Elephas maximus indicus: one gene and its partners. The protein of the gene in region 2 purifies or fractionates together with the protein of the main gene of each other region. This does not show direct contact. Links are inferred from orthologs where the notes say so. Each region holds a gene or a part of one and is shown on either strand. Other genes may lie near its edges. The genes, in order: PSMG4, PSMA5, PSMF1 and PSMG2.

Region 1 (7,741 bases), on a different chromosome or scaffold from region 2:
GCACTGCGGGTGGAACTATAAAATACCGCAGCCACTGTGGAAAAGTTTGGCAGTTCCTCCAAGAGTTAAACAGAGAATCACCACAGGGCCCAGCAATTCTACTCCTAGGTGTATACTCAAAAGACCTTAAAGCATGGATACAAACGGATACGTGCACATGGATGTCCAGGCATGCAATGTTACCAGTCAGTGGATATGGACCTCTGACAGGTCTACTAACTGAGGCCTGTCCGTTTTCCCGCCTCACCCTTGAGGACTTTAAACTTCCAGCTGGGAATACAGACTACTGGTAGCTATGACTACCAAGTGATCAGACCACCAAAGCAGGAGGAGCCATTACTTATTGCCCCCCAAACCAGAACTGCACAAAGGGACACAAAGAATCTGAAACTGGGTTCGAGTAAGCAATATCTGACCTTACAGTCCTGCGGCCCTGGGCTCCCAGATGGCCTCATATGGCCTATGGCCTCGCCTGCTGTTTATTACTAAAGCCTCAGGACTAGAAAAAAATGTAAGGTGGATACCACACCTCCAAATCCACAACCCTGCCCATCACTGCCCAGACCTCCTAAACCCACTGACTCCTTGAATGAAAAGAAAACCTGGAATTGCCACATGCCCAAAGGCCCACCTGCCAGTACCCACCAGAAACAGAGGTAAAAAAAACACACAGGAGAGGAAAAACCAAAGAAAAACAACCCGTTGTTGTCGAGCTGATTCTGACTCATAGCAACCCTACAGGACAGAGTAGAACTGCCCCCATAGTTTCCAAGGAGCACCTGGTGGATTCAAACTGCCAACCTTCTGGTTAGCAGCCATAGCTCTTAACCACTACGCCACCAGGGTAAAAGAGGGATATAGTATCCCAATTTAGATGCTGTCTCCTTCTGGAAACTTTCTTGGGTCCTGTCCAGGGGTACTGTCCTGCAGATAGAAAGGCTCACTCCTCTCATTTCCCACTGCCCCTCGTGACCCCTCAGAGATTACAATCCTACTTCCTCACTGGCTTTGGGGTACTGGTAGTCTCCCCCCATAAACCATGGACAACCAAGGGATATGGAGCCTCATTCATTCACTCTTCCAACAAGTATTTCATGAGCAGCTTCCATGTGTCAGGCTCTGGGAATACAAAACCAACACAGGCAAACCTCACAGTCACCGGCACATGTATTCTAGTCGGGGAGACAGACAACACACTGCAGAGGGGACAGCGAATGGAGCATGCTGGACATGGCAAAAGAGCAAGGACGTCAGAGTGTGTGGAAGAAGATGAGAGCTGCGGGGCAACAGGGAGCCAGGTCATGTAGAGCCTTGAGATAGTCTCTGGATTGCACCCTGCCTTTGCTCTTGAAAGGTTCTGAGGAGAGCAGTGAAAATATCTGACTTCAGTCTTAAAACTACCATCTGCTGTCCTGCGGAGAACTGGCTATGAGGCAGCAAAGGTGGAAGCAAGGAATGGAGCCATGATGATGGAGGCTTGGCTCAGGGTGGGAGAAGTGAAGGAGGTGATGGATGGTTGGATTCTAGATGTTTTGACTGACAACCAAGCCCACTGCTGTGGAGTCAATTCCAACTCATGGCAACTCAATGTGTTACACAGTAGAACTGCTCCATAGGGTTTTCTTAGCTTTATGGAGGCAGAACACCAGGTCTGTCTTCTGCAGCGTCACTGGGTGGATTAAAACTTCCAACCTTTAGGTTAGTAGTTCAGCACAAACACTTTGCACCACCCGGGGACCTCTGACTGACCACAGTGCTTATGAATTCACCAACATTTGGAAGATGGAACGTATGAGCAAGAGGGCTGAAGGACGACTGCCAGGTTTTTACCCTGAGCACCCCGAGAGGGGGATGGCTGTGGGATGGACCGGTTTTCGGGGGAAATACCCAGAGTCTGGTCTTCAATGTGGAAGGTGTGAGATGCCTGTTAGATGTTCCGGTGAAAACACACAAGTCCGAAGTTCCCGGAAATAGATCTGTACTGGAGATGTAAGTTTAAATCAAAATATAGATAGTATGAGCCCTAAGAGGCAGCATCCCCAGCGAGCGAGTGACCAGAAAAGACCAAAGATTGCAGGATAAAACTCTGGGACATTCCAAACAACCTACACAGATGTGGATGGAAGGTGAGGAAACCAGCACAGGGACGGCCAGAAAGGTAGAGGGCCTCCCACTGTCTCACCGGGAGGGGCACGGCCGGCCTCCATGGCCCACGGGGCTGGGGGTCTGCTCCGGGGTTCCCTAAGTCTGCACCACAAGAGTTCCTGAGGGCCTTTCTGCCCCGAGGGCCCCGCGGACCTAGAAGATGTAGTAGGAGTAATTTAGGGGTACCCGCGCACCCAGACACCAGACCCCTGAGGGTCCTCCTACCCCTGTCTGCGCCCCGCCCCCGCCGGCCCCGCCCCCCACGACCCCACCCTTCTCTCCACACCCAGCATACCCTCCCATGCCCCGCACCCCTACTTCCAGCACCCCCCCCACACCCTTCACGCCCAAAGCCCCGTCCCCCCGCCAGCCCCACACCCCTCCCCACGCCCAGCGCGCAGCGGCCCCGCCACGTCGGCCCCACCCCCATCCACGCCCCACCTCCACCCGGCGCTCAGCGGCCCCGCCTCCCCGGCCCTATCCCCGCCCCCCGCCCAGCGCGCAGCTGTCCCATCCCCGCCGGCCCAGCCCCCGACGACCCCACGCCTCTCCCCACGCCCAGCGCGCAGCGGCCCCTCGTCCCCCCGACCCCGCCCCTCCGCTCGCACTCACGTAGCGGTTGCACATGGCGACGGCGAGGTTGCGCAAGTGCGGCGTGGCCCCAACCCACAGGAAAAGCGAGTCCGTCAGCCGCATGACGTGAAAGTGGACGAGTTGCTCCCACAGCCTTGCGCTGAAGTTGTGCAGGGACACGTCCCCGCCCGTGACCGCCTGCGGCCCCTCCATTCCCGCGAGCGCCGCCTCCGTAGGTCCGACCAGAAAGGCGCGACGGCGGGGACGCCGGGCGACCTTTCACTTCCGGGTTCCCGGGTGGGCGGGTCTTCCCGGGGCAGAAGCTCTGGCGGTCTTCTTCCGCTGGGGTCAGGGGCTTTACCTCGGCCTGCCGCTGGCTTTCTGTTCTTGGGCGAGTCTGGCCTCTGCTGGGAGCACTTGCTTTCACGGATGTTCAGGGTTTCCAGCAGAACTTGCTCTCAGTTGTTCCCTCTACGCCCCCCATCCCTTGCTGGTTGAGTAAAAACTGCTGAAGCCAGCCATAACGTCTTTAGGGGTCATGAGACGTCGCCCTTAAGAGACAATCGCTTTCTAATTAAGTTCCTTTAAGAACAGCTACTTTCTATCATAATATGTTTTGCTTAGCTTTGGTTTATCGAATCCTCATCCTAGCAGCCCTGTAACTGGAAGGAAGCCTTAAGAATGGCATCCAGGACAATTGCATTAAATAAGTTGTCAGGAGAATGTATAGGCACCGTTTTTGGTCCAGTTCCCTTCTCCCCCTGAACTGGATCGTGGACAAGCACGAGCTTTAGCCTAACCTTTCAACCTTTCTCAAGACCCGGTTTCTTTGAGCCAGCTTTCACAGTGCTGTATTAAAAATCATGTTTTCTTTGCCTGGCTTCCTTTCCCACAGTGTTGTATTGAAAACTCTCGTTTCCTTTGCTGGGCTTCACCTCCTCTCCCTTTCCTCCTACCACCCAGTGTCCCCCAGCCCAGCTTTGCATTTGAATCCTGCTTTTGCTCGGAGGTTAAATGTAAACCCCATTGGGCCTTTGTAATATGATTAAGAATGTTGCTGATGTAATTTGTATGAACTCCCTACTTGTAAACGACCTTTAAAAGTAACTGCCTGTCTGCAATTGGTGGGCAGTCCTGGTAGCAGCAGCTCGGACTGTCTCTTTTTCCTTGTACAATGAAATGTAGGTTCCTTTCCTGTTCTGCCACCTTGGTCTCTTGTTTATTGGCCAATAAGAGTCATGCTGAGCAAGAACCTGGGTTTTCCACCCAGCAACATTTCTGCCAAGCCAGTCAGGAGCCATCTGCTTAGTTCCTGAAGTGGATCAGAAAACAGACTGACCCCAATGTCTGGCTCAACCAGATTTCTCCTGGAGACCTTGGAGCAGCTCTGAAAAGCAATTCCCCCTGGGACCCAATCTTTGGCTTTGTGAGAGACATGAAATGTGCCTGGGTTATTTGGTAAGTACCTAGGTGTGGCCTTACAAGAGTCCCAAGAAATGGGAGAAATTGACCATTGAGGGCGTTAGAAATCTGAGGTTATTTGGTAAGTAACAGGATAATTCCTAGCTAAGGCCTTAGAAGAGTCCCAAAGAAGCGGGACGAATTGACTGCTGAGGGCATAACAAGGCTCAGGTACCTGTTAAAGTGGTGCACTAGATTAGGTTGTGTGGGTGTGTAAGTATGTATATCCAGAGAATGGGGAACATTCAAGGGGTCCCAGAATCCGGCCTGCTAAGATACATCCTTAAGAACTGGGAACAGAGACTCAAATAGACATGGTTCTGGCAGCATGCTTGTCCCTTTCTTACTTTTGCCCCTTTATATACTGAATAAAACCTTTCTTTTTGCTTTATTAAACTTTGTGGTGTTTTCCCCCTACAAGAGTTAATGGTGTAATTGCTGCAGGGATTCTAAAACCATGAATCCAGTCAACCTCGAGGAGACCTGGACTGTGGAGCAGAAGCCGGCAAAAAGAGAGACCCTATCTTCTGGACCCAAGCATTTGCACTCCATGTCCCTTTAACAGTGGTGGGGTGAGTGCTCTCAAAAAACGAGCTTTTGCTTGTTTTTTTTTTTTTTCCTTTTCCTCATGTTTTCTTAAGTTTTGTTTAGCATATTTGTTTCTAAAACCAGTTGTTTGATTAAGGAGGATCTTTCTTACATTTTTGCTTGACCTTTTAAGAGTGATATCTAGTAACTCTTGGTGAACTGTAGTTTAGGTCTGGATTTGGGTATATGAAACATTAAAGAGGTAATTCTATTTTCAAAGACCTCTGAGCCACTATAAGCCACTAAAATTCTGGCAGGTATGACCAGTAAAAAGCCTTTAGGGTGGTCACTGGTGCTTATCATGAATTTTAAAGACTCCCATGAGGGGATAAGGTGGTCGTGACACAAGCTAGAGCACTAGGCTGCCTGCCACCTGCAAGCAAACTCTCGCATAATAAAGGTACATGTTGGTCTAAGCTAAACACTGTCCAAACCCTGAGGCCTTCCTCATTAGGTTTCTTTTTGTGGCTCAGAGAAAACCTGGAAAATAGTGCCCTGTTTTGCCAAATTTTAAGGGGAGGTGGCAGCTCCTGACCTGTGTTATGAAATTCACAGGGAGAAGTGGTAGCTCCTGATCTGTTTTATGAAATTTAAGGGTGAAGTGATAGTTCTGTACCTATTTCATGATACAGTTTCTCAATAATCACAATGTTAAAATCATCAGTAGCTACCTTAAAGTAATTTCCAGTTGGAGGAACTAGCATATTTAAGGTCTGAAATAAGAGACTAAGTCTCTAGCCAGTAGAATGAATTAAGTTCAAAAAGAAGGAAACCAAAAGTTTGAACCTTAGAGCTTAACATCTTTGATAAATAAGCCAGGATTTGTCCCCTGCTTCCGAGACAGTGGTTTAGGGTTCATATTTATATACACTTTAAGAAACTAGAATGCCCATATCCTTGTTTTGTGTGGTATTCAGTGAGTTCATGTGGTCTTCCTCTCTCATTCTGTTCTGAGAGCTTGCTTTTGGTCTAGAGCATTGTGTCTAAGTTTCTGTTTTGTATCAGGTTGGAGGCGATGGCTGAGAATTGCTGTTTTTTTGTAAGGCTGCCTTAGAACCTCAGCTCTTTTCCTCATCCAAGAAAAACTGTCTTGTGTCTGTCTTATGATTTAGATTTTTAGTAGCTATATTGAAAAACTTTATGGTTAAGTCTATCTTAAAGGTAAAACCTTTCTAAGTAACTTAAGCAACATATTTTATTTAAGGAAAAAGAATAATTTTGTCTTAACGTACAACTGGTAGTTTCAGAGTGGGTAAAAGGAAGCATAGGACAAGCCTAGGGGGACAAAATGGCTAGCCAAGAATTGATTAATTCATTTACAGAATTGCTAAAGAGTTTTGGTATTACTGGGTAGACAGCCTTTCAAAATGTCTAGATCAATTTAAACATATGTAAATGAATCGGAATGGCCTAATCTTATCTTCTACCATGAGTCAAAAACAGGGAGGGTGGGGGCAACATCAGGCCCCTCAGGTCCCCAGTCTCCCAGGTCATATAGCTCCAGGAAACTTACTATAAAAAAACGAAAACCAAACTCATTGCCATCAAGTTGATTCCGATTCATGCTGACCCTATAGCACAGAGAACTGTCCCATACAGTTTCCAAGGAGTCCCGGTGGGTTTGAACTGCCAACACTTTGGTTAACAGCCATAGCACTTAACCACTACACCACCAGGGTTCCCATAGTTATCAGAAATTGGGTGGATCCCAATCATAAAAGAACAGTAAACAAGTTCTCTTTACTGTAGGGGAACTTTAAGAAGCCAAAAAAAAAAAAAAATAGAAATCACAGAGACTTTGTGATTTCCAAAGCCAGTTGATAAAATCTTTAGGGGCTAAAATTAGATTGGGAAAATATGGGAAATAATAAAAGTTGAATGAAAACTTAGAATGTTTAAACAGACTTTCTTTCAACAACAATTGTGTTTTATGGCATACAGGCTTAAAATAATTTCTAGGACCTTTTAGTTAACTTACTGATGTTAAATTGAGTTTATAGATATTTGTCATAATTAAAGCTTATATACTTTTGTTTTTTATTTCACGAGAGAAAGGATATATGTAATTATATGTAAAATATATATTTTTATATATATGTCTGCTAATGAATGTGTTTATTTTGCGATTTTAAAAGAAAGTACTGTAAGATATGCAAAAAAGACAATATTTAAGAGGTTTATTAAAAAGAATTTTGTTATTTGATATGGTCCAAAATTTTATCTGACTAAAGTTTAATGGTCTAATTTATGAGATTTTTTAAGAGCTTTAATGTTAAATAGCATATAAAACAAAGAATTGGGTTTCTCGCTATTAAAATTACAAAATTGTCTTCGATTTCTGAGTTGAACAGTTAATTTATTCTTTGTGTAATCTGCCTCAAAGACAGAGGTTTGCTTTCTCGTTAGAATAAGATTCCTGAGTTGAAAACCAAGCCACGTGACTTTAAAAATAATAATAATTTTTTTTTTTTTAAATAATGTTTTTACTTTAAGATCTTTGGTTAAATAACCTAAGTATTATTTCATGGTGACCTATAATAAACTCTTGATGACTCTGAAACTTCATAGAAAGCCACAAAAAATTTTTATAAAAGTGCTAAAAAGCTTTTGCTAATAAATTACATGGAATGTGTAGTCAAAATCAAGAGAAACATCTGATTCTCTTTGGGTCAGAATTTATATGTTAATATTTCCTCTTATGTTTTTGCCTAATATTAGATAGCAAATGCATAATATTATGCCATAATTTTATTATTATTTCTTTATTGGTAACCTGGCCACAACTTTATTTTTTTGAATCTAGCATCAAAGCCAATGGTTTAACTAGGGCATTCACTCTGATGACCTGTGAAGTCTTTTTATTACTATTCAGATATTCAGAGACTTGATAATCTTGGTATATTCTAACTATATGGTATTATATCTCAAAATTATTATGTAGTATATTATATCTGAAGCTCTTTAAAAATAAGGT
Region 2 (7,616 bases):
GAGGAAGACCTTCAACAAGATGGATTGGCAGGATGGCTGCAAAAATGGGCCCAAGCATAGTAATTCTGAGGATGGCGCACAGCTGGGCAGTGTTTCACTCTACTGTACATAGGGTCACTAGGAGTCAGAGCCAACTCGATGGCACCTAACAATAACAACATATTGCTGTTTGTTTTTATTACAAAAAATTTTTTATTGTAATAAAATTTACATAAATTTACCATTTGAACAATTCTTTGAGTGTATAATTCAGTGGTTTTAAGTACATTCAGTATGTTGTGTAACCATAACTACTACCTATTTCCAGATCTTTTTTATCATCCCAAACAAAAACTCTATACCCATTAAACAATAACTCCCTATTACTACCTCCCCTCAACCCCTGGCAATTTCTATTCTACTTTCTTTCTTCAATTATTATTTCGTGAGAGATTTGCAAGAATCAAAGCTAGTTAAACCTTCCAATATGCTTGAGCTAAAAACCTTTGCTATTTTAAAACATCTTAGAAAATGACTGAGGTAAAAAATTACACATGGGGTGAAATAGCTAACTCTAAAATATCTTTTTATGTAAATAACAAATTGTAGCTACAAGAGATAAATGTGGACAGATGGATGTGGGGGATATAACATTTAGAAAGAGTAAAGGGACCTAGATTGATTTCAAGTCACTTAGAAAACTCTTCACGTAAAGTGTATTTTCTGCCATTTACCCAGGAATGTCTGACATAAAGTGATCCTATGTATTTGTTAACACATCTGAGTGTTTTCAATATTTATTGTACTATTAACTTTACCAAACTGTTTCATTTACTTCTAGTGGAGTGGCAAGGCTTCTACTCTACAGTTGGAAAACTATCATGTTTTATTACAATATAGTTTAGACATCTGTGTTTCATCTCTAAAATAATTATGGCAGCTTTCAATTAGATGATTTTCCTTCCTCTGTGAATTTGCAGGAAAAAAGCAAATAAGCAAAATATCTAAGCATTCTAGTTCTGTATTTGGATGTAGAACTCTCATTAATGCCTAAATGACATTTCTCCAGGGAGCAAAGATCTTTCTCATCTCTCAGTATTTTGCCTAAAAAGGTTGTGAACCACAAAATTTTGTCTGTTTTATTTTTTAAAAAAAGGAAAGAGAGAAAAATACTAGTTTTAAAAATTAAGAGTGGCAATCTGAAATACTGGATTCTTTGCTCATTCACCAATTCACACATATGTTAATCTCTACATGACTAGTACACTTCTAGAGTAATAAATAATTGCTGGCTTCCTGGCTGGTGAAATACATTGGATGCACTTGGGAGGGTAGTACATGCCTTTTTGGGACATGGAAGGTTCGTGTTGTAAATCCTCCCTATCCTTGCCTTACGTGTAATTATAACAAATAAATACTTGTTCATTTGCTAAACAAATATTTCTAGAGCATCTACTATATGCCAGGTGGTAGGCTGAATAAGACACAGTACTGGTCCTCAAAGAGCTTACATTTCAATTACTTCACTTTTACATAACTGATTTCTTATCTCATTTATTTCAAAGAGACACCACAAGGTTTTTAAAATTACTTTTTTTTTTAGGTAGTGTCTACAGCATCAAGTTGCCAACTCCCTGCTTTTGCTGCTACCACCTAAAGTTCTAGGTGCTCTCTTTCATGGTTAGTCTTAGGAACATCACCTGAACCTTTTCTTCTGTCTCTCTCTTTATAAGAAGTCATCAGGACATTAACACACATTTTCAGACACCTTTTTGGAAAAGTATAATTTCTAGTTTATATACAATCAGAAATATTTATAAGTTAGACAATTACAAGTACATAAAGGATCTAGTTTGGGGATGAATTCTTACTGGTTCCTTTAGTTGGACAGTGTCTCCAGTCTGCCCTGATCATTCTGCCACAGTTCATTTTGCTCCAGGATCCATGTGTCTAGCTCTCCAAGATGTTTATGTTACCTTTGTCAGTTTCTGAGTCTAGATCATTCTCTCGTGTTTTTACTATATTCTTTCATTTCTGTCTTCAATGGCTCCCCTGGAAACCCTTGTGGCATAGCGGTTAAGCACTATGGCTGCTAACCAGAAGGTTCGATTCTACCAGGCACTCCTTGGAAACCATGGGGCAGTTCTACTCTGTCCTACACGGTTGCTAGGAGTCAGAATCGATTCAACGGCAAAGGTCGGTTTTATGGCTCCTCTATTATTTTTCTCAGAGGAACATCTGGTCCAACTTTTAATGAAACAATTATTTATCGAGCATTCATGGTCAAAACTTTATGCTAGGTGCTAGATTTTTATGACATCACATCCACTCTCTAGAAAGAAAACAAAATTTCCTTTCTTACCCATACCCAGCTACCTGTGGCTACCCTGAACTTTATATAGAGCACAAACACACTTACCCAGAAGAGTTTCCACACTGAAGTACATCCTGTGATACAATTCACTACCTTACCTGATATTAGTAGGAGCTGTAGAGCATCTTACATCCCTCCATGTTCAGGAAATATTATGTTTAAGTATGTATACCCACCCCAAACCCAGTGCCGTCGAGTTGATTCTGACTCATAGCGACCCTATAGGACAGAGTAGAACAGCCCCATAGAGTTTCCAAGAAGCGCCTGGTGGATTCAAACTGCCGACCCTTTGGTTAGCAGCCGTAGCACTTACCCACTACGCCACCAGGGTTTCCAAGTATGTATACAGTCATTTCAAAAATGCTTGTAAAGAGCAAGTGCTGTGAATTTATGACCAACGTTTATGGCCACTGTCATGGATTGAATTGTGTCCCCCAAAAATGTCTGTCAACTTGGCGAGGTCGTGATTCCCAGTATTGCATGATTGCCTACCATTTTGTGATCTGATGTGATTTCCCTGTGTTGTAAATCTTATCACTATGATGTTAATGGATTAGCAGCAGTTACATTGATGAAATCTTCAAGATTAGATAGTGTCTTAAGCCAATCTCTTTTGAGATATAAAAGAGAAGCAAGCAGAGATATGGTGGGAACTCATACCATCAAGGAAGCAGCACTGGGAGCAGAACGTGTCCTTGGGACCCGGTGTCCCTGGGCCTGAGAAGCTCCTCAACCAAGGGGATGATAAGGACCTTCCTCCAGAGCCAACAGAGAGAGAAAGCCTTCACTGATGTACTGAATGGACTTCTAACCTCCTAGACTGTGAGAGAATAAATTTCTGTTTGTTGAATCCATCCACTTGTGGTATTTCTATTATAGCAACACTAGATAATCAAGCAGCCACATTAGCAGATAAGAAAGATAAATAATACTGTTCTTTTTTCTCAGAAATGTAACAGATCCCTAAGGACTGCTGGTTGGAATTTCTGTTTAGTCTAATTAGTGCCACACATCTGATTGGCTTGGGCCCACAAAACTAAATTTCTACTGAATTCATGAAGGAAGCGAGGAAATGAATGAGAAAAACAGATATTAATACCCAAAAGGCATATCTGTACATTTTCCCCACTACTGAAATGCCTTGGTGAGCTACAAACCTAACCTAGGGCCAAGTGTAATCTTTATTTGACAGATACAGGCTGGGAAAGGTTAAGCACTTGACCAGTGGTATCATGTTAATAGCTGGAAGTGGAACCCTGGCATTTCTCCTTCAGTCTTATAAAACCAAAAAAGAAAACACCAAACCTCTTGCCGTCCACCCTACAGGCAACGTAGAACTGCCGGATAGGGCTTACCAAGGAGCGGCTGGTGGATTGGAACTGCCAACCTTTTGTTTAGTGGCTGAGCTCTTAATCACTGAGCTACTTGGGCTCCTTCAGTCATATACTGCCTGTTAAATGACTTAACTATCTTTCTTGAAAAAACAATTCATTTACAGTGTTTTTATGAAGCTGTCAAATTGCTCTTTCACCCCAAGAGAAGGCAAGCAAGAAGGCATTGTCAGCCAATTCTTCGGAAATAACAGAAAAAGCAGTGCGCAATCTGAGTCTCGAATTTAGAGCTCTGGGTTGAAATGTGTGAAACCTGTACTGGGGTGGAGGTCTAAGGAAAGGCTGGAAAAATTACCTTAATTATGCGGAAACTTGAAGATTTTCTTACAGACCAAAACCTACCAACTTTTCTCAAACAAGCCAGGGTAAGGGTTGGCTAAAGCGAATGGGCTCGCCTACGGCGCCCGCTGAGACCTACTTTAGTGCACCCCATCACTGCGCAAGTCGAGTCCTGGGGCCCTCGTCGCAGCACTGAGGACAGAGACCGCGCCAGAGCTCGAAGAGGTGAGGAGGTAGTGAGCATGCAGTTTGAAAAGAGACCAGTGTGCACTGGTTTGGATTACGGGATCCGGCGAAGAACCTATCACACCAGCGTTCAGACAACCGAAGTCTCTGTATAAGGTTCCTGCGTTGCCACTCTTGAGGGGGGAGGGGGTTCACACCTTCCCTAAAAGGCGAGCTCTCCCTCGCGACTCAGGTTCCAAGCGCCCCTAGCAACCAGCAGCCATTGAAACCGGAAGGGTGACCCTTGTCCCGCCTTCCCTGGACCAACTGAAACCTAGCGGGGAAGCACGTTGGCCCAATCACCTCGGCGAGAACTGCGACCAGCCAATAGGAGACAGGCAGAAGAAGGCGGGCTGAAGGGGTCGCGGACGCACGCGCAGTTGGGAGCAGGGCCCTTAGTCCTGGGGCGTGTGTGGGTGATTTGGGTGCTGGTGGAGTCGTGTTGGTCCTTAGAATCTCCAAGTAGCCACTGCCGCCTTCTCCTGCCCTCGCCATGTTCCTCACCCGGTCTGAGTACGACAGGTCCGTGCGGCGGGGGGAGGCTGGGTCGGGGTTAAGGGTGGGCAGGCCTGGGGCCCAGCCTTGGCCTGGGTTCTGCCATGTCATGGGGCGCCCCCAGGAACCGAGTCTGGCCCGGCCGGGGGATTTCTTGCCCTCCCCACCGTCCCCCGTGTCCCCCGTGTTCCCCTAGAGCCGGGCTTGGGCGAGTTGGCCGCACGTGTCCTACCGCTGAGTCACTGCTGGGGTCCTATCTGTGCGGAAGCGAGAAGCTCCGGTTTGTGCTTAGGGAAGAAGGCAGAGGGATCGGGATTCCGACCTTTCACCCGGAGAAGGCCGGGGGTCACTCCCCTCTCAGTTCATCTTTCTCGTGCAGAGTTTTGACTGCCTTTAAACATTTTTTAAAAAATTTGCTGCCTGGAAGAAAAAGCAACTGAAGATTATCAAATGGATTTGATAATTTTAGTTCCCCTCTTATCTGAGAACAACTTCGTTTTCCATTCCTTAATCTTGGGAATAGAGCATGCTGGGATGTATGGTTCCTTCAAAAGAGCAAAGGCATTCTCAGCTGTGCCCAGATGTGTGAAATGACTGAGTCTGATCTTATAGGAACGAGAATTTAGGGTGCTTCTCGAGAGCTTTCTCATCATGCTGATTTCATTTGACCTAGACTTTTTTTTTTACTTTTTCAGTTTCAAAGCAAGTAAATTTTAGTGTGTTTTTGAAGACCAGTCTAATGCTTTCTAAAGTCAAGATTGTGAGATTGTTGTGTTTATTAAAAAAAAAAAAGGATTTGGGGATATTGAGTAATTTTAAATTGTACATGCTCATGCTGTAGACATTTTTACTTTCAGTTTCTGTTTTGATCAGTTTTCACACAGCTATTAAGTTTCAAAAAAGCCAGGTGTTTTCTTTGTGCTAGGTTGCTTGACAAGTTGTATTTTTTGTCAGGTATACAGTTGCCCTGTCAAAGTTTTATCATCTGACTCATGAAAGATGTTTGTGAAGTTTAAAAACTGACATCTTTTCTTACAACTGTTGTACAAAATGACTTAGTCAAATTTAGCTTCCAGAGCTTTCAAGAGAATCATCTTTGGGTGATGTAATTTTGAGTTAGTGTGCGTACTTGATGAAAATTGTTATCCTTATCAGAAACACTTTATTAAGGTTTTGTGATCATTTGTTTTGTGTTACTCATCTTCGTGTCTTCCCAAGAACGCCTAAGATACAGCCCTTATTCACTTAGCTAATGTATTTGGGTGCTTGCTGTGTACAAGACATGAACCAGGTGCTGGTCATACCCTAGTGAACAAAATCAAGATCCTTGCCCTCATACAAAAGAAACTTGCTGCTGTTGAGTTGATCCCGACTCATAGCGACCCTATAGGACAGGGTAGAATTGCCCCATAGAGTTTCCAAGGAGCGCCTGGTGGATTTGAACTGCCAACCTTTTAGTTAGCAGCCATAGAACTTAACCACTATGCCGCTAAGCTTTCCTCATACAAGAGACTGTCTCTTAAAGAGCTGTTTACAAAAGTAACGGTAGTATGAGACAAACATATTAACATCATAAGAGAAACTCAGATCAACACTATAGGTGTTTCCATGAGAGATTCCATTCAATATTAGGGAATCTTGGAAGACTTCCCAAAGGAGCTCATAGTTAAACTGGGTCTTGAGAAAGAGTAGGATTTTAATGAGTAAATAGTTTTCAGGCAGAGATGGGATAAACATAGGAGTGGCAGCGGGAAAGCACAGTGCTCATCTGGGAAAAGCCCAGTCTGATTGGCACATATGAGACGTGTATGGGAATAGCAGGAGATATGGGGAAAAGAGGATGGTGCTAGATATTGGAAGGTTTTTAATATGAGCTTAAGGAGTTTGAGTCTTAGTCTGTAGGCAACTGTGTGCCATTAATTTTTTTTTCAATTTTATTTTGTTGAGAATATATACAGCAGAACGTACACCAATTCAACAGTTTCTACATGTACCATTTAGCAACACTGATTATATTCTGCAAGTTGTGCAATCATTCTCATTCTCCTTTTCTGAGTTGTTCCTCCCCCATTAATATAAATTCACTGCCCTGTAAGGTTCCTATCTGATCTTTCAAGCTACTGTTGTTAATTTGATCCCCTATAGGTAGTTCTTAAGAAACATAATGCTCAAGGCAGGCATTTTCCTAGTTAAGCTAAATTATTGTTGGTTTTGAGAAGACTTCTGGGGATGTTTTTTGGTTTATGGTTTAAAGATTAGGGTAGTAGTTTCAGGGGTTCATCTAACCTTTGTGAACCCAGGAAATCAAGTTCTCAAGTTCCATGAGAACTTGAAATTCTGTTCTGCGTTTTCCCCCTCTGGATCAGGATTCTTCTGTAGAATCTTTGATCAGAATGTTCAGTAATGGTAGCCAGGCACCATCCAGTTGTCTGGTCTCATGGCAAGGAGGCAGTTGTTAATGGAGGCAATTAGCCACACATTCCATATCCTCCTTCTGTTCCTGAAGAATTCTTCCTCTGTTGCCCCAGGGAAATAGAGACTAATTGTTGTTCCTTGAATGACTGCTTGCAAGCTTTTAAGACCCCAGGCACTATACAAAGAACTAGGAGGTAGAACAGAAGCACGAAAGGAGTTATTATGCCAGTTAACTGTGATGTCCTATGAAAGCATGACCCTAAACCTCCAAACCAAGAAACCAAATCCCATGAAGATTTTGGTTGTACATAAGCAGCCTCAGCAGCTGCCCTTTTTTTTTTTTTTTTGGTTGTTGTAATAAATACGACTGCCACACAACTTTTGCCAATATAACTTTTTATAGGTATAGTACAACTATCGACAGCAATTACAGTAATCAGCTGTGCAACCCTATCCTT
Region 3 (7,072 bases), on a different chromosome or scaffold from region 2:
CTGTGTACCGTTGTAGGTAAAGGTAAAATATATAATTTACAGACAAGTTCAGAAAAATCAAGGTTGACAGCCTAGCATCATCTGTATAAAACAACAAACACAGAACAGACTACGTATTTTTTTCAGGGATGGACATTTATATAGCTAGACACGGAGCAGCGGACCTGGGGAGACCTGTGTCCATGTACGGGTGTCCATGGGCGGGGGGTAGAGTGGCATCAGAGATAAAGGACGAAGGGAAAAGCCAAGGGCCAGCAAAGCCAGGCCTTATGCCACAGGCCAAGGGCCACGGGAGGGCAGGAAACGCGAACTTCGAGTTTCTCCTCTTGGGCACCCCTGGTGCTCAGGGACTCACTGCGCGAAGCATTAGGCAGTCACAGCCGGCAGGGTTTAAAATCTGGCTGGACGACAAGGAAACTCGCAGGCCTGAGGTACAGAAATGAGAGCCACAAAACCAAAGGGAAACTTACCAAACCCCTCAGCGAAGGGAGAAAGTCGACACCCGCCCCACCCCCTCAGCAGACTTCCTGTAACATGTTCGTTGTTGTCAGTTGCGGTGGTGTCGATTCCGACTCAGAGCGACCCTACAGGACAGAGCAGAATTGCCCCATAGGGTTTCCAAGGAGTGGCTGGTAGATTTGAACTGCCGACCTTTTGGTTAGCATCCAAGCTCTTAATTACTGTGCCACCAGGGCCCCGGTAACATGTTTACTGTTGGAGATTCAGGGTTTACTCTGGGACCCAGAAATTTAATAACATGGTTTGTCTTTGTTCTGTCGAGGGCCCTTTGGTTTATATTACATCTTCACACGTACATCACTCAATCCACCAGAACTCTCTCTTGAAATATAGATAATTTGGTCTGCTCACCACCCCATCACCTCTGGCTTCCAGAGGAAGAGATAATCCTGAGGCTGGGAGAGGCTGATAACCTCTCACTACACTGGAACCCATGTTCCGGCCTGGGCTGCCCCAACACGGGGAAACAGGTGCAACTGAGAGGGAATGGCTCTGGAGATATCTAGCCAAACACAGCATTTAACCACCCTCTAGGCCCTGACATCAAATATCAGACCTCCCAGAATGCGAAGGTTGGAAAGTAGCCAAAGTGCATGGTCATGTAGTTTAACTCCCTGGGATGAAAAATCTAAGGCTGAGAATTGTCCAAGGTCACAGCAAGTGAGGTGCATCTGGCTTTGGAATTCAGAGCTTCTGGCTGACTAGGCTAAGTCTGGAGGGGAGCTATTCCCTGCCAGGTCCACCAGGCTGGCCCAAAGAGAGTAACGGTAGTGTCCCCTTTGGCAAAATCCTGGGGGCTGGAACCAGTTATCAGTGGCAATGGGTTCAGTCCAGCGCCTCCGGGCCGAATGCACCCAAAGCAATGCACATGGAGGCATTTTCCCTCTTTCATCATAATCTTTACATTCCCATAACAGAAAATAAAATTCCCTAATTTAAGTCTATAAATCTCTATCCCCTGCCACTTAAACCACTTGACACTGCTAATAAAGCTCTTATGAGGTGCTGACTTCAAGTGAGAAATTCCAATACTGGACTTTTGTTGAAGCAATGGCTGCGCTGCTCTACTAATTAAGTTTTGTGTACACAACTTGTACCAGAGTAGACAAAACCAAACAAAAAAGTAGACCACTTAGCTTTCTATTTAATTATCAAGAAATGATACAGTCACACACACTCTCTCAGGACCTTCCCCTCTCTTATCGCCCCCACAAGGGTGGGGAGCAGGAGGTATCTGAAGAGGGAACACAAACATGCTCTGAGCTTGGCAAACACTGGCCCTCTGAGCAGTCTGCTGGCCCCAACCCAGAAAATTAAACCCCCTCTTAAATAAACTAACAGAGAAGACGCCTCTCCAAGTAACTTCTACTGTGAATGAAAGCAGACTCAGCAGAAGTCCGTAGAGGACAAGTGTAACCTGAGCCTCCATGCCACTTAAGAAGAAAAAGTAGATACCATCCCACGAGACGGAGCGGAGCAAAAATACACTAGAGTCGGTATGCAATCCAAACACCCATCTCCCAGAGGACAGGCAGACTTAGCGCTGGGGTGGGCAGAGGGTCAGTGGGCAACAAGAGTGGCCGGCCCTGTAGGACAGCTCTGGGGAGGGAACATTACCTGGCCCTCACACCCACGGTGTATGTGTGCACTCAGCGGTGAGGTCTGAACTAGGCCGTTCAGTGAAGAGCAGGGGAGCTCCCCGGACCCACGCTGAGGAATGAAGACGAGATTCTGGGCTGGGGCTGTGTTAAGGTCAAAGCTCTGATCTCCATACCCGTGCGCGGATCTGGGTGTCTGTTGGAGGCTCGAGAACAGTATGAGGGTGTATGTGTGCAGATTCTGCTCCCCTAAGCTTGTATGGTAAGAAGCTGGGCGAAGTTCAGGTAGGTGAGCTGTGCTCAGGGAGCAACAGCCAGTCCCGGTGCCAGGTCCACACAACCGTGGCCTGGGGAGACTGCCAGGCTGTGCTGATGGGAGCTTCTGTCCTTGAGTTTACAAAGCATGTTGTGCCAGCTGTGCTGTGAGGTGCTCCGGCGTGGGCTGGGGCAGGTGGGCACTTCCGTGAACCGCAGGCTATGCCAACGGTGTCCTGAGCCCCAGGCCTCGGACTTGAGGGCGGGGACAGCAGGCGCTCTGGACCGGCCTCCGGTCCTCTGGGTCTGAGAAGAAGACAGCACCTCCCTCCCCCCAGGCTCCGCATCGTACCTGGTCGCCGGCACCCAGGCCGTAGTAGCCGTGCGTCACCACTTCCCAGTGCAGGAAGCAGACGAGCGCGTCCTGCGCGCAGGTGATGGCCGGCGCCGCCGACGCGAACAGCACCTCCAAGCCCGCCATGGTTGCCCGCAGCTTCTGCGGGCGGGAGAAAGAAGGGCGAGAGTGTGGTGAGCCGGAGCAGCACTCCGAAAACAGACGACTCCACACTTCTCTGCTCCGCTCGCTCTAGCTCAATCTCCACCTACGGCCAAAATGGAGCTGTCCGGGGAAGGGGCGGGGCCGTCGGAAGTACGTCGTCGCGCGGGCGCCCTTGCGCGGTCCCGGCTGGAAACTAGAGCGCCACGCTTTAAGGTTCCTCCGGCGACCTCCGGACTGGGCTGGCGGCTGGAGGCGCGGCCCTTCAAAACTGGAATCCCCATCTCGCCCGCAGCGGACTGGATCGTTACTCTCAGGGCGTTGGGTCCGTGTGATGAGAATCCTTTACAAAGAGCCACAGACTTTTCATCCGCAAAAGGGAGAAACTGACAAAAAAAACAAACCTGTTGCCGACGAGTTGACTGATAGCGACTCATAGGACAGAGTAGAATTACCTCGTAGGGTTTCTCCAAGGAGCGTTGCGGCCGGTGGGTTAACTGCCGACCTTTTGGTTAGCAGCCGAGCTGTTAATCAATGAGGTAAGGAAATATGCCTAAAATATAGTCATGATAATAGTTGACAGTTAAGAAGTGCTTGCTGCGTGCCGTATTCTAAATGCCTCACTTGTGTTCATTTATTTAATCTTTATGACCCAAGCCTACGATATTGGTGTTAGTGATACCCACGGAGCGGTGATTTGACTAGGGTGACACGGCCCTTCAGTGAGTGGGAGAGACAGCAGTCTGGCTCCTAGGATAGCGTTTAGTAAGCGTATGTTGTGTGCTAGATCCTGTGCCAAAAACCTTTACGTCATCCTCTCAACAACTCTATGAGATATGTTCCATTATTGTCCCCGTTTTGCAGATGACAAAACTACTCAAAGATTTGAAGCCCCTTCCCCCAAAGAGCACAACTGCTGACCTCTATCCTGATCCACTACCTGCTGCTACTACTACCTGTCCTATGACTACGCTGGAGTCATACCTACTCATGGCGACCCCATGTGTTACACTGTAGAACTGCTTCTTAGAGTTTTCTTGGCTGTAACCTTTACGGAAGCAGACCGCCAAACCTTTCTTTCCCAGCCGCGCTGAGTAGGTTCCAACAGCCAGCCTTTCAGTTAGCAGTCGAGCTAGCAGTTTATACCACCCAGGGACCTTTGATTCACTACCGGAGCTTCTCAAATTTCAATCATTTCTCTACCACCTTCATGATTTTCACCACCATTATTTACTCAATAATTTTCTTGAAATCCTCTTACAGTTTTTATTAAAATAAATTTAGATTTCCCTTCCAGTCAGCACCCTGGTCTAAGCCACCATCATCTCTCACTGGATGACTGCATCAGCCTCTGAAGTGCCCTCCTCCATCCCTGACCCCCTACAGTCTGTTATCTTCTCCACAGCCTGAAAGAGTCTGTTAGAACTCAAGATCATGTCCCCTCTCTGCTCAAAAGCCTCTCAAAGTTCCATAACATTCAAAGGAAAAGTAAAGACCTCCTCATGGTCTGCAGGGACCTACGTATGGTCTGCTCCCAGCCACTTCCCTCTTGGACCTCATCTCCTTCAACTATCTCCTCAACCCCTGCGCTCCTGGCTGCAATAGCCTTGCCTCCCTTCCCTTCTGTCACACCCACATCTGATCTAACAGCGAAGCAAGTCATCTCTACCCTCAAAATATATTCTGAGTCTGGCCACTTCCCACCAACTCCACTGCCTCCACCCTGGTCTGATTCTCCAGCATTTCACACCTGGACTGTTGCAGTAGCTTCCTACTGTGTATGTTCTTCCACATGTTTAGTTCTCTAGGCCTTTGCATGTACTGCTCTCTCTGTCTGCACTGCTTTTCCCCCAAACATCTGCATGATTTGCTTCTTCATTTAAATGACTCCTTCCCTCACCCACCAGCCTCAGACATCTTCTCTGACCACCTCATTGAAAATAACTTCCTCTACTCTTTAACCCCTTACCTTGTTTTCTTTTCTGCAAAGTATTAATCATAACCTGACACTATTAGGTATTCATTTATTTGCTTGCTTATTTAGTGACTGTCTTCCCACTAGACCATGACAAGGGAGCAGGAACCATGTTTGTCTTGTTCACAGCTGTACTTGAGGGTCTTCTGGGCTCAATACGGCTCAATACATGCTTATTAAATGAATGAGTGGATAATGAATGAATGAATTCATATCCTGAGCTCAACCAAATCAGGCCAGTCTCACCCTTTCACAGTCCACCAATCAGCTGGCCCTGTGCCTCTCCAAACTTTATGTTCCTGAGATTACCCTGGGATGCCCAGGTTCTCAAACCCCATCTGCAAAGATTCTGGCCAAGCAGCTCTGAGGTGGGGTGCAGGTATGTTGACCACACTCTGGGTGATGCTGAGGGTGGTGTCCCAGAACCTCTCCCTGATACGTACTATCTGTGGCATAAAGCTATCTGCTCTTTCCACCAAGAAGCCCTGCACTCTCAGGCTTCCCTGTTTTTGCGCACTCCCTTCTGCCTGCAGTGTCCTTCCCCAGAAACGGCAAATTCCCACAGATTCGTTCATTCATTAAGTCAACAAGCCTCCAGAGGCTGGGTTGCCATGGACAGTGGTGCAGGCTATATACTGCAAAAAATGTACACACCCAGTGGCAGCCCTGTTCCTGAGTGCCTACTGGGAGCCAGGTCAAGATGAACAAGACAGAGTCCCTGCTCCTATGGAGCTGACGATCTAGTGGTAAGAAATGACGAAGGTAGCTAGCGTGACAACTGCCTTGACAGATGGGCACACAGGGGTCTGTGCAAGCCCAGAGGAGAGATCTAACTTCTGGGGATGAGGAATGGGCTTCTTGGAGGAAGAGATGCCTGGCTTCCTTGAACCTTTGGCCTAACAACAACAAAAAGCAGACCTACGTTTGGTCAGTTTTATTACTGCTTTTACGTGTTTTACTGACAATGCTCCCCTTCATTGCCTGCTCTGGGAGTAAACTGAAGAACAAAAGGTGTTCTAGTAAGAGAGAATAGCATATGCAAAGGCCTAGAGTTGTGAAATGCAGCTAGAATGGTGAGATTAGAGGTCAGTGCTGCCTCCTAGTGAGGCCTTCCCTTACCTTCTCTGCCTACTACGAATTACTGGCTGAGTACACTTTGCCTCGGGGTGGGTGCTAAGGGGCGGGCAGAGGTCAGTGAGAGTTATCTGCCTCAGTGAGGAGGAGAATTTAATCACAAAAAATTGTTTAGAATTGCTGGCCCAGGGTGATAATAACAAGTAGACCGTTTGGTCAGCTTTATTACTGCTTTTAAGTTTTTTACAGACAAAGCTCCCTCTCATTGCCTGCAGTGGGCAGACAGCCCCCCAAACCCCATCCCTGGGACCACTGCTGCTTTGCATATAATTGGTTGGGGCAGGCACCTCACAGAACTTTGGTTCCCTATTATACATCATTATCCCTGTCTTAGTTTGGATTCCCTCAGAAGCCAATGCTGAGACAGGATTTGAGTGCAAGTGGCTTATTGGGAACAGATTTCTGGAAATAGCAATAGGGGAGTAGGGAAGTGAGATAAGGAAAGAAGGCAACCAATGAAAAAAAAATAGAGGGTATTAATCAAGCCACTTACCATTATGGGCAACTAAAGCTCAGTCCTGCTGGGGAACTCTGGGAGGCAGTATGGAACAGTCTCAGAAGTATCCGAACTGAGGGTGAGGAAACTGGGGTGTGTTTTCACTCCCTTCCTGTCTGCCCCCAGTTGAGGACTGCTTCTGGGAGCAGAGAAATCCCTCAGGTAGAGAGTTGGAGAGTTTACAGAAAGCGGCCATTGGTGCTTAGAGGTGAATACTGAAGGATGAGCGGGGCACACGGTGTCTGGTGTGCCCCCGCTAAGGATAAGCCATTCCTTAGCCTAGTCTGTGACCCAGCAGCCATTCTGGAGTAGCATTAGCACCTGTGTATTGAGAGAATGAGGTAAGCTCTGTCTCATGCGCTAGGCTGTGAGTCCTCTGAGGGTCAGGACTGTGTTCCCTCCACCCTGGATCCCAAGGTCCTCTAGGGATAGGAGCAAATGGGGGGCTCCCCTGGTGCTGGAGGTTGTCTGTGTTTTGCCCCTGGTCCACCCAGCACTTTCTGTGGACTTACCTCCCTCAGCAAGAGTCTCAGTTGGCCCTGTTGGGTTTGCAAGTGGTTGAGAAGGGAAGCAGGTGGAAGGTGCCTCCCCTGCTGGGC
Region 4 (6,868 bases), on a different chromosome or scaffold from region 2:
TTTCCAACCATGGGCACAAGACAATCGGTATAAAAGTAACCAACCTTAAACATATTCAGCGTGGAAATAATCAGATCTATTGCAAGCTGGCCAACATTTCCAACGGATACTGCTGGCTGAAATCATAAAAGATATATTCGATAAGTCATAAAATGTTAGCAACACTTTTAAAATTTAGACTGAAAATAATAATCATAGTACTAGTACTGAACGCTTATGCTTGGGTATATCACAGCTAAATACTGACTCTTTCATTATCTATAACTGTGATGTCAGCTGAGGCCTCCTCCACCTTTCACACAATTCATTTACCAAATATTTACTGAGCACCTACTATGTGTCAAACGCTGCTCTAGGCATTGGGGATGGAAAAAAAAAAAAATCAGAAAAAAAATTACTGCCCTTGTGGAGCTTCCTTTCTAGTGAGGATGTGGTTTACCCGCAATAAACAAAATAAATAGGTAAAATATATAGTAGTAAGTACTATGGGCAAAAATAAAAGAGAGAAAAGGGATATAACGTGAGTGTATATGTCCCTGTGTGCAGTTGTTTGTAATTTTAAATTGAGTGTCAAAGAAGACTCACTTCAGGTGCAAAGTGACTACTATGGAACTGAAGGAGTAAGGAAGAGAGGCATACAACAACCTGGGAATGAACATCCTAGGAAGTGGGAAAGTTGTGAGGTATGTACAAAAGCAATCTTGGGTCTTCTTGTACCACTTTCTTTGCCCACATCTAAAGGTTAGAGTGACCTTTTCACACTAAACACACACATACTTATCCCCATGACTTCAAACAGCCAACTGAAATCTCTGCCTACAGCTGAGAACACTTACTTGAGCTCTAGCAGCTAATGGATATCTCTACATGGTTATGCCACAGGCACCCCACATTCAACATGTATAAAACTAAACAACTGCCCAAACCTGTCCCCATATTTTGTATTTCAGAAAAGAGCAACACCATTTACCAGATCACCTAAAACAGGAACCTTCTTCCCTTACCAGCTCTATCTAACACATAACTGATTTTCATTGATTCTTTCTCTAAAGTATCTCTTTAATGGAGTTACTTCCAACTATTGCTCTTTACCGGCCTTCATCCTATTTTGCTGGGCCACTCACAGTGGTCTCCCACTGTTCACACCTGTCATCAACCCTGGCAACCTCCAGTAGTTCCGTTTTTCCTCTCCAAGACTTTGTTTCTTTGGTTATACTCTTTCTCCTGTACGTTGAACCTGCCAGCTACCCCGTGGGAGAAAAATGTGGCAGTCTGCTTCCACAAAGACTACAGCCCTGCCTGGTCCTCACATGCCCCTCTATCTCATTTCTGTGTCCCCACAAAGCCAATACCTCTAACCTTTGTCCTCTGAAACATGAGCAGGAATTTTATTGCTGAACGAATACATACAAATCTCCACATCCTCTAACTCATTCCATAAGCTGCAGCATGGGTTTCCTCTCCACTGAGAACTGTTTGCAAAGGTTACCACCCACATCCCACATGTTGCTAAATCCCAAGCGCACACTTCCTCGTCTTACACATTCGCCTACTTGTGACAAACAGGTATTCTCTCCTTCTTTCAACACTCTCCTCTCTGGCTTCATGTGCTTGATATTTAATGAACAAAAGGACGGCTGTTCACTCTTCAGCCATACACCACTTCCAACAGCGCCTTCTGCAAAGGTGTCTCTTGGGCTCACAGGCCTGCAGCCTATTATCTCTCAATGAGTCATTCCCAGTCCAAATCCTCCAGCTCCCCCATGCCGGTGTGTCTCTGGGGTAGACATCCATTTTCCTGAAATGCCCTATTCCTGCCCCCCAGCCCCCAATACCTCACTTTCTGGGCGTTAATTTCTTTAGGAAGCATTTGAAGAAAAAGCCCTGTGCCCACTCCTCCTCCCCACAAGTCTTAGGGCCTGTCAGCAATCTTTTCAAACTTGCACCCCAGCACTCACTGCCCTCGTCCACTGACGCGTTTCCAGGTAGACTACGAACTCCTGTGGACAAGTCTTATCCTAACATTCGTACGTGCCAGAATGTTTACTGAAACACTGCATGAACGTGGCCAACTGCACAAGCGATAAAACCGTGTTAGCTACTGGCAAAAAAGTGACTTTTATTACTACCACTGATTTTAATACTTTTACAGTAAACTCCCATTTGCTTAAATTCAAGCTAGTAAACGACATGGTTTAAGGTTACATTTATGGTTTCTTAACAGAGAGAACCTCTGGAGAACAGCATTACTTTGCTAGCTTAAAACCGACCTAGAAGTAGCTGGGAAGACCTCTGAGGGTACACTTGAGGACGATACCCTGTACAACCCACGCAGCCCAGCAGCTCGTGTCACAGCTAACAGACGGACTACCGACTCGCACAAGCCCACAGGTCCACGAAGGCTCTCGAGAACCGCCGCCTCCCGCGACAGACAGCCTCTGCTGCCCCTTCAGTGAGGGCTGACAACTGCACAGAAACGGCCCCTCTCTCCCCCGACCCTGCGCGGCCCGAGCCCGGGGGATGAAGCCGCCGGCGCCTCCGGAGGCCGTGGCCCTGCGGGGCCGCCGAGAACTCGCCAGAGAACCCACCATCAAGAGGGTGAAGCCCGTGAGCTCGGGCGCCGGGTCCACGCAGGGCACAAACATGGCCGCAACGTGGGGCTGAAGGAAGGGACAGAGCGGGGGCGGCGGCGAAGTCGACCTGCCTGCGGCCCGAGCGGCGGGAACGCGGAGCGGGAACAGCGGGAACGCGCGGAGAAAGGAGCAGACAGGACTCGAACGCGGCCGGGCCGGCGGGGTCCTGCGTCCCCTCGGCGCCAGGTCCTCGGAGGCCTTCCAGTTTAACTGCCTGCGCGGAAGGCGGGAAGAAACTGCGAGGGAACGGGAAACGGAAGGGCAACACGTTCGGAGACCCTGGAAAGGCTCATCGGCTGGTGTGTGGAGGCTGCGGGGGCCCGGGGACACCCGCTCCCGGCCGCTCAGGCGGCGCTGGGGGCACCCCGGGGCTCGCCGCTCCGCTCCCCGGCTCCGCCCCAGACGCCCCGCCCCGCCCCGCCCCGCCCCGCCCCGCCCCGCCCCGCCCCGTCCGGCCTTAGAGCGCGCGCGGGGAGCTGACGCGGTCGTCGTTCGGAGGCGCTGTCGCGGTAGTGGTTCGGCGGAACGCCGGCCGTTGGGACTCCCAGGCCGGGTAGGAGCGGTGGCGAGGCGCGGCCGGCGACATGTCCCTGCCCGCGGAGAAAGCCTCGGAGCTGAAGCAGCTCATCCACCAGCAGCTGAACAAGGTGAGGGCGCGCGGGCTCCTCCGTGCCAGTGTCGGTCCTCGGGGTTCGGGCCGGGCCGTGGGAGCAGAGGTCGGAGCGGCAGAGGTCGGAGCGGGAGAGGTCGGGGGAGCAGAGGTCGGAGCGGCAGAGGTCGGAGGGGCAGAGGTCGGAGCGGCAGAGGTCGGAGGGGCAGAGGTCGGAGGGGCAGAGGTCGGAGGGGCAGAGGTCGGAGGGGCGAGGCTTGGGTTTGCAGCCAGGAGAGCTTTCTGGCCTCGCTGACAGAGACTCGCTGAGGAAGCGGGAGTGCCGGGCTGCGCTGACGGACGGGTCGGGTTCTGGGGGACCGTGGTGAACAGGAAGTGTCCGTCGAGTCGCTGCAGGAAGTCAAACCTGCGCTTGGATCCCGTGTTTATACTCAGACTTGAAAAGTCAGAATCGGTTTAAGGGTGAAACACGAGGGTGCCGTTGAAATTGAGCGGGTAGCTTAAACCAGCAGTTCTCAAAAAGTCATAGAAGAGAAGGCGCTAAAGTCTGTAACAAAAATATTTGTGATGCTTTGGAGCAGGAGAACACGGAATGTTCGGGACACTCAACTGAATGCAATAAGCTGATTTGAAAAAACCGGGCATTTGAAATATTAATAAAAGCTGCCATGTGTTGTGCACTTGTACGCCAGGCTTTGTGCTGGGTGTTGAGCATCTGTCATCGAATCCTGACCACCAACCTGTGAGAGGGCAATACTTTCCTCATGTTATAGACGAGGAAGCAGGTTCAGGAAGGGTAAATAAGTTGGCACGAGGTTACACCTCTAATAAGTTGAAAATAAATTCAAACGTTGATTTATCTACTCCAGGTTCTTTTGATGTTACTGTATTTCTTTTTAAAAGATACATATTTTACTTGAGTCTTGTTTGTGCGGAAAAAGTAACAGATGACCAGTAGAGACTCTAAAAAATTTGTACTGAAAATTTCATCTTTTTTTTTTTTTCTTAAAAACAACGAAACCACTTGCCCTTGTTTTCACTGAATTGTGGTAACAAGTTTACAATTAACTGGAGAAGCCTGAAACCCAAATTTCCTAAGTTTAGTCTCTAACATCCCTGTTATTTTTTTTTTTAATAACATTTTATTGTGTTTTTGGTGAAAGTTTACACAGCAAGTTAGGTTCCCGTTTGACAATTTCCACACAGATTGATCAGTGACGTTAGTTACGGTTTTGAAGTTGTGTCAAGATTCTCCTTAATTTTGTTCTGATTGTTCCCCGTTTTTTTCTTTATTACTTTGATTTAGTATTTTAGAAAGAAACTGGTTAATTGGTAATATTTGGCTGCTTTGATACATGTGCTCTTCAGGAGAAAAAAAATTGTAACGTGAGTTTTCTACGTAGATGGATGTCCACGGCAGAATACGAGAAATCCTTGCTGAGACTATACGTGAAGAACTGGCACCTGATCAACAACAGTTATCAACAGAAGATTTGATCAAAGCCCTTAGACGTAGAGGAATCATTGATGATGTGATGAAGGAACTGAATTTTGTTACTGTGAGTAATGATTTAGGGAAAAAAAGTTGACAGTGTAAGTCTGTTCTCATGCTTGACAATGTTTATAGGGTGCATATTTGGGGCCTCCTTTTAATAAAACCGCTTTAAACCTTTTTGTCTAGTAATACCCTAGTTTCAAGTATTTTTTTTTTTCAAGTATAAGGTAGCTCTACGAATATAGCAAATAGTATTATTTGCTATAATATCAGTGAAATTGGAGGGGATTCCACATTCCTGTCTGTATATTGACAGAATTTTCTCGTTATCCTCCAGGTCTACAATTTTAAATGCACATATTTTAGTCACATTACTTCATCATGTTATTAGGTGCCATCCAGTTGGTTCAGACTCATAACGACCTTATGTATAACAGAATGAAATGCTGGTCCTGTGCCATCCTTATAATCTTTGATATGTTTGAGCCCATTGTTGCAGCCACTGTGTCAGTCCATCTCACTGAAGGTCTTCCTCTTTTTGGCTGACCTTCTGGTCTGCCAAGCATGATGTCCTTCTGCAGGGACTGGTCCCTTCTGATAACATGTCCTAAGCACAGGAGATGAAGTCTTGCCTCCTGGCTTCCAGGGAGCACTCTGGCTGTATTTCTTCCAAGACAGACTTGTTCATTCTTCTGGGAGTCCATGGTATATTTAGTATTCTTTGCCATAACTCAAAGGCATCAGTTCTTCAGTCTTCGGTATTCATTGTCCAGCTTTCACATGCATATGAGCCTGTTGAAAATATCATGGCTTAGGTCAGGTGCATCTTAGTCACCATAGCAGAGTTCTTTTTCATTAAGATTATAGTGTAATTTTTTTTAGATTGACGAGCTTATTTTTAAAATAAATGCATTTTTTGGGGAGTGAATTTTCTATGACTAACAAATTATAAATTTCTTTAAGAAAATAGTGTGACTGCTTAAGAGCCCTCAAATCTTTTCCTACAAATAGGTCAGTAGCAGAGTGATAGCCTCTCAGTACATAATTAGTAAGTAGGCCTTTTGAAAATGAGGCAATAATGAGAAGCTGTGACCTCAATACCTGGATAACCTGATGTAAAAATTGGAATGGATTTTATAATACACGAAGGAATAAAGTGTTTAATACAGCATCCTTTTTTAGTTTTTGAGGTTTAGAAACCTATTTATTATTAAAAAATGACCTAGTAACAGCTTCTGCTGTGTGAATTACACTTCCTTGTAAAAACCTGCTCATGACCATTCATAAACCAAATGTTGTATGAGGTTTAGAAAAAGTTTAGCTTTCTTTAAGTATTAAGGGTTTGTATTTAACACTTCTGTTTGTTTGAAAACAATTTCTTAGTGTTAGATTTTTAGGAGTTACAAATTATATTTTACGTAAAATTTTATTTTCATTGTTTTAATTATGCTAGGAAAATAAAGGATTTCCCTGTGGCATAGTGGTTAAGAGCTCCGGCTACTAACCAGAAGGTCATTGGTTTGAATCCACCAGGTGCTCCTTGGAAACCCCATGGGGCAATTCTACTGTGTCCAGTAGGGTTGCTATGAGTTGGAATCAACTAAATGGCAATGGTTTTTTTTTTTTTAAATCCTAGCTAATTCTGGTTCAGTGCTTATTTCCATTATTGGCATTTTCTTGGCTATGCATAACTTGTTTTCTAATTTGTTCTGATTTTTTTTGTTTTGCCTTTCTAGGACAAGGTTGATCAAGAACTCCCTACCTCTCCAAAACAACCTGCTTGTTTTACTGATAAACAATCAACGTTGTTAAAAAAAAGTATGTGTTTTGTTTTTTGCATTAATTTAGCTACAGATTGTAGTGGATTTGTTGTAGTGTTTGGTATTTAATAGAAAACATTTCAGGTTTTTTTTTCCCCAAAATGAAATAGTTAAGTATTTGTGGTCAGTCAGCCAGAAAAACTTAGATTCTGTCTTGCATGAAGTGTATCAGAAGGTTTAACCCATAGCACGGTGGAAGCAAAAATAGAAACACCTGCTTCATATATTTTATTAACAAATCTTATTAAAAGCTATGCAGCCTTATGTTTTTAATGGTCATGTAATTAGCTGAGAAGTACACTGTCTTGTC

Evidence for each region.
Region 1: the proteins of PSMA5 (region 2) and PSMG4 purify together in Homo sapiens (co-immunoprecipitation; 3 studies listed by BioGRID and IntAct, with this or other methods). This does not show direct contact. The link is inferred for Elephas maximus indicus from reciprocal best matches to the Homo sapiens genes PSMA5 and PSMG4.
Region 3: the proteins of PSMA5 (region 2) and PSMF1 purify together in Homo sapiens (co-immunoprecipitation; 3 studies listed by BioGRID and IntAct, with this or other methods). This does not show direct contact. The link is inferred for Elephas maximus indicus from reciprocal best matches to the Homo sapiens genes PSMA5 and PSMF1.
Region 4: the proteins of PSMA5 (region 2) and PSMG2 purify together in Homo sapiens (affinity purification with mass spectrometry; 4 studies listed by BioGRID and IntAct, counting the BioPlex papers as one, with this or other methods). This does not show direct contact. The link is inferred for Elephas maximus indicus from reciprocal best matches to the Homo sapiens genes PSMA5 and PSMG2.

What each region holds. Positions count from the first base shown.
Region 1 is NC_064819.1:44,001,319-44,009,059, reverse strand, and holds the start of PSMG4 (proteasome assembly chaperone 4), read right to left. Parts: upstream 3,003-7,741; 5' UTR 2,932-3,002; coding exon 2,758-2,931; intron 1-2,757. UniProt on the Homo sapiens protein: Chaperone protein which promotes assembly of the 20S proteasome.
Region 2 is NC_064821.1:172,144,474-172,152,089, forward strand, and holds the start of PSMA5 (proteasome subunit alpha type-5), read left to right. Parts: upstream 1-4,614; 5' UTR 4,615-4,741; coding exon 4,742-4,770; intron 4,771-7,616. UniProt on the Homo sapiens protein: Component of the 20S core proteasome complex involved in the proteolytic degradation of most intracellular proteins. This complex plays numerous essential roles within the cell by associating with different regulatory particles.
Region 3 is NC_064843.1:39,188,548-39,195,619, reverse strand, and holds the start of PSMF1 (proteasome inhibitor PI31 subunit), read right to left. Parts: upstream 3,004-7,072; 5' UTR 2,854-3,003; coding exon 2,725-2,853; intron 1-2,724. UniProt on the Homo sapiens protein: Plays an important role in control of proteasome function. Inhibits the hydrolysis of protein and peptide substrates by the 20S proteasome. Also inhibits the activation of the proteasome by the proteasome regulatory proteins PA700 and PA28.
Region 4 is NC_064829.1:9,170,373-9,177,240, forward strand, and holds the start of PSMG2 (proteasome assembly chaperone 2), read right to left. Parts: upstream 3,004-6,868; 5' UTR 2,646-3,003; coding exon 2,589-2,645; intron 117-2,588; coding exon 1-116. Other genes in the region: CEP76 (centrosomal protein of 76 kDa), read left to right, coding at 3,218-3,280, 4,647-4,802, 6,475-6,556. UniProt on the Homo sapiens protein: Chaperone protein which promotes assembly of the 20S proteasome as part of a heterodimer with PSMG1.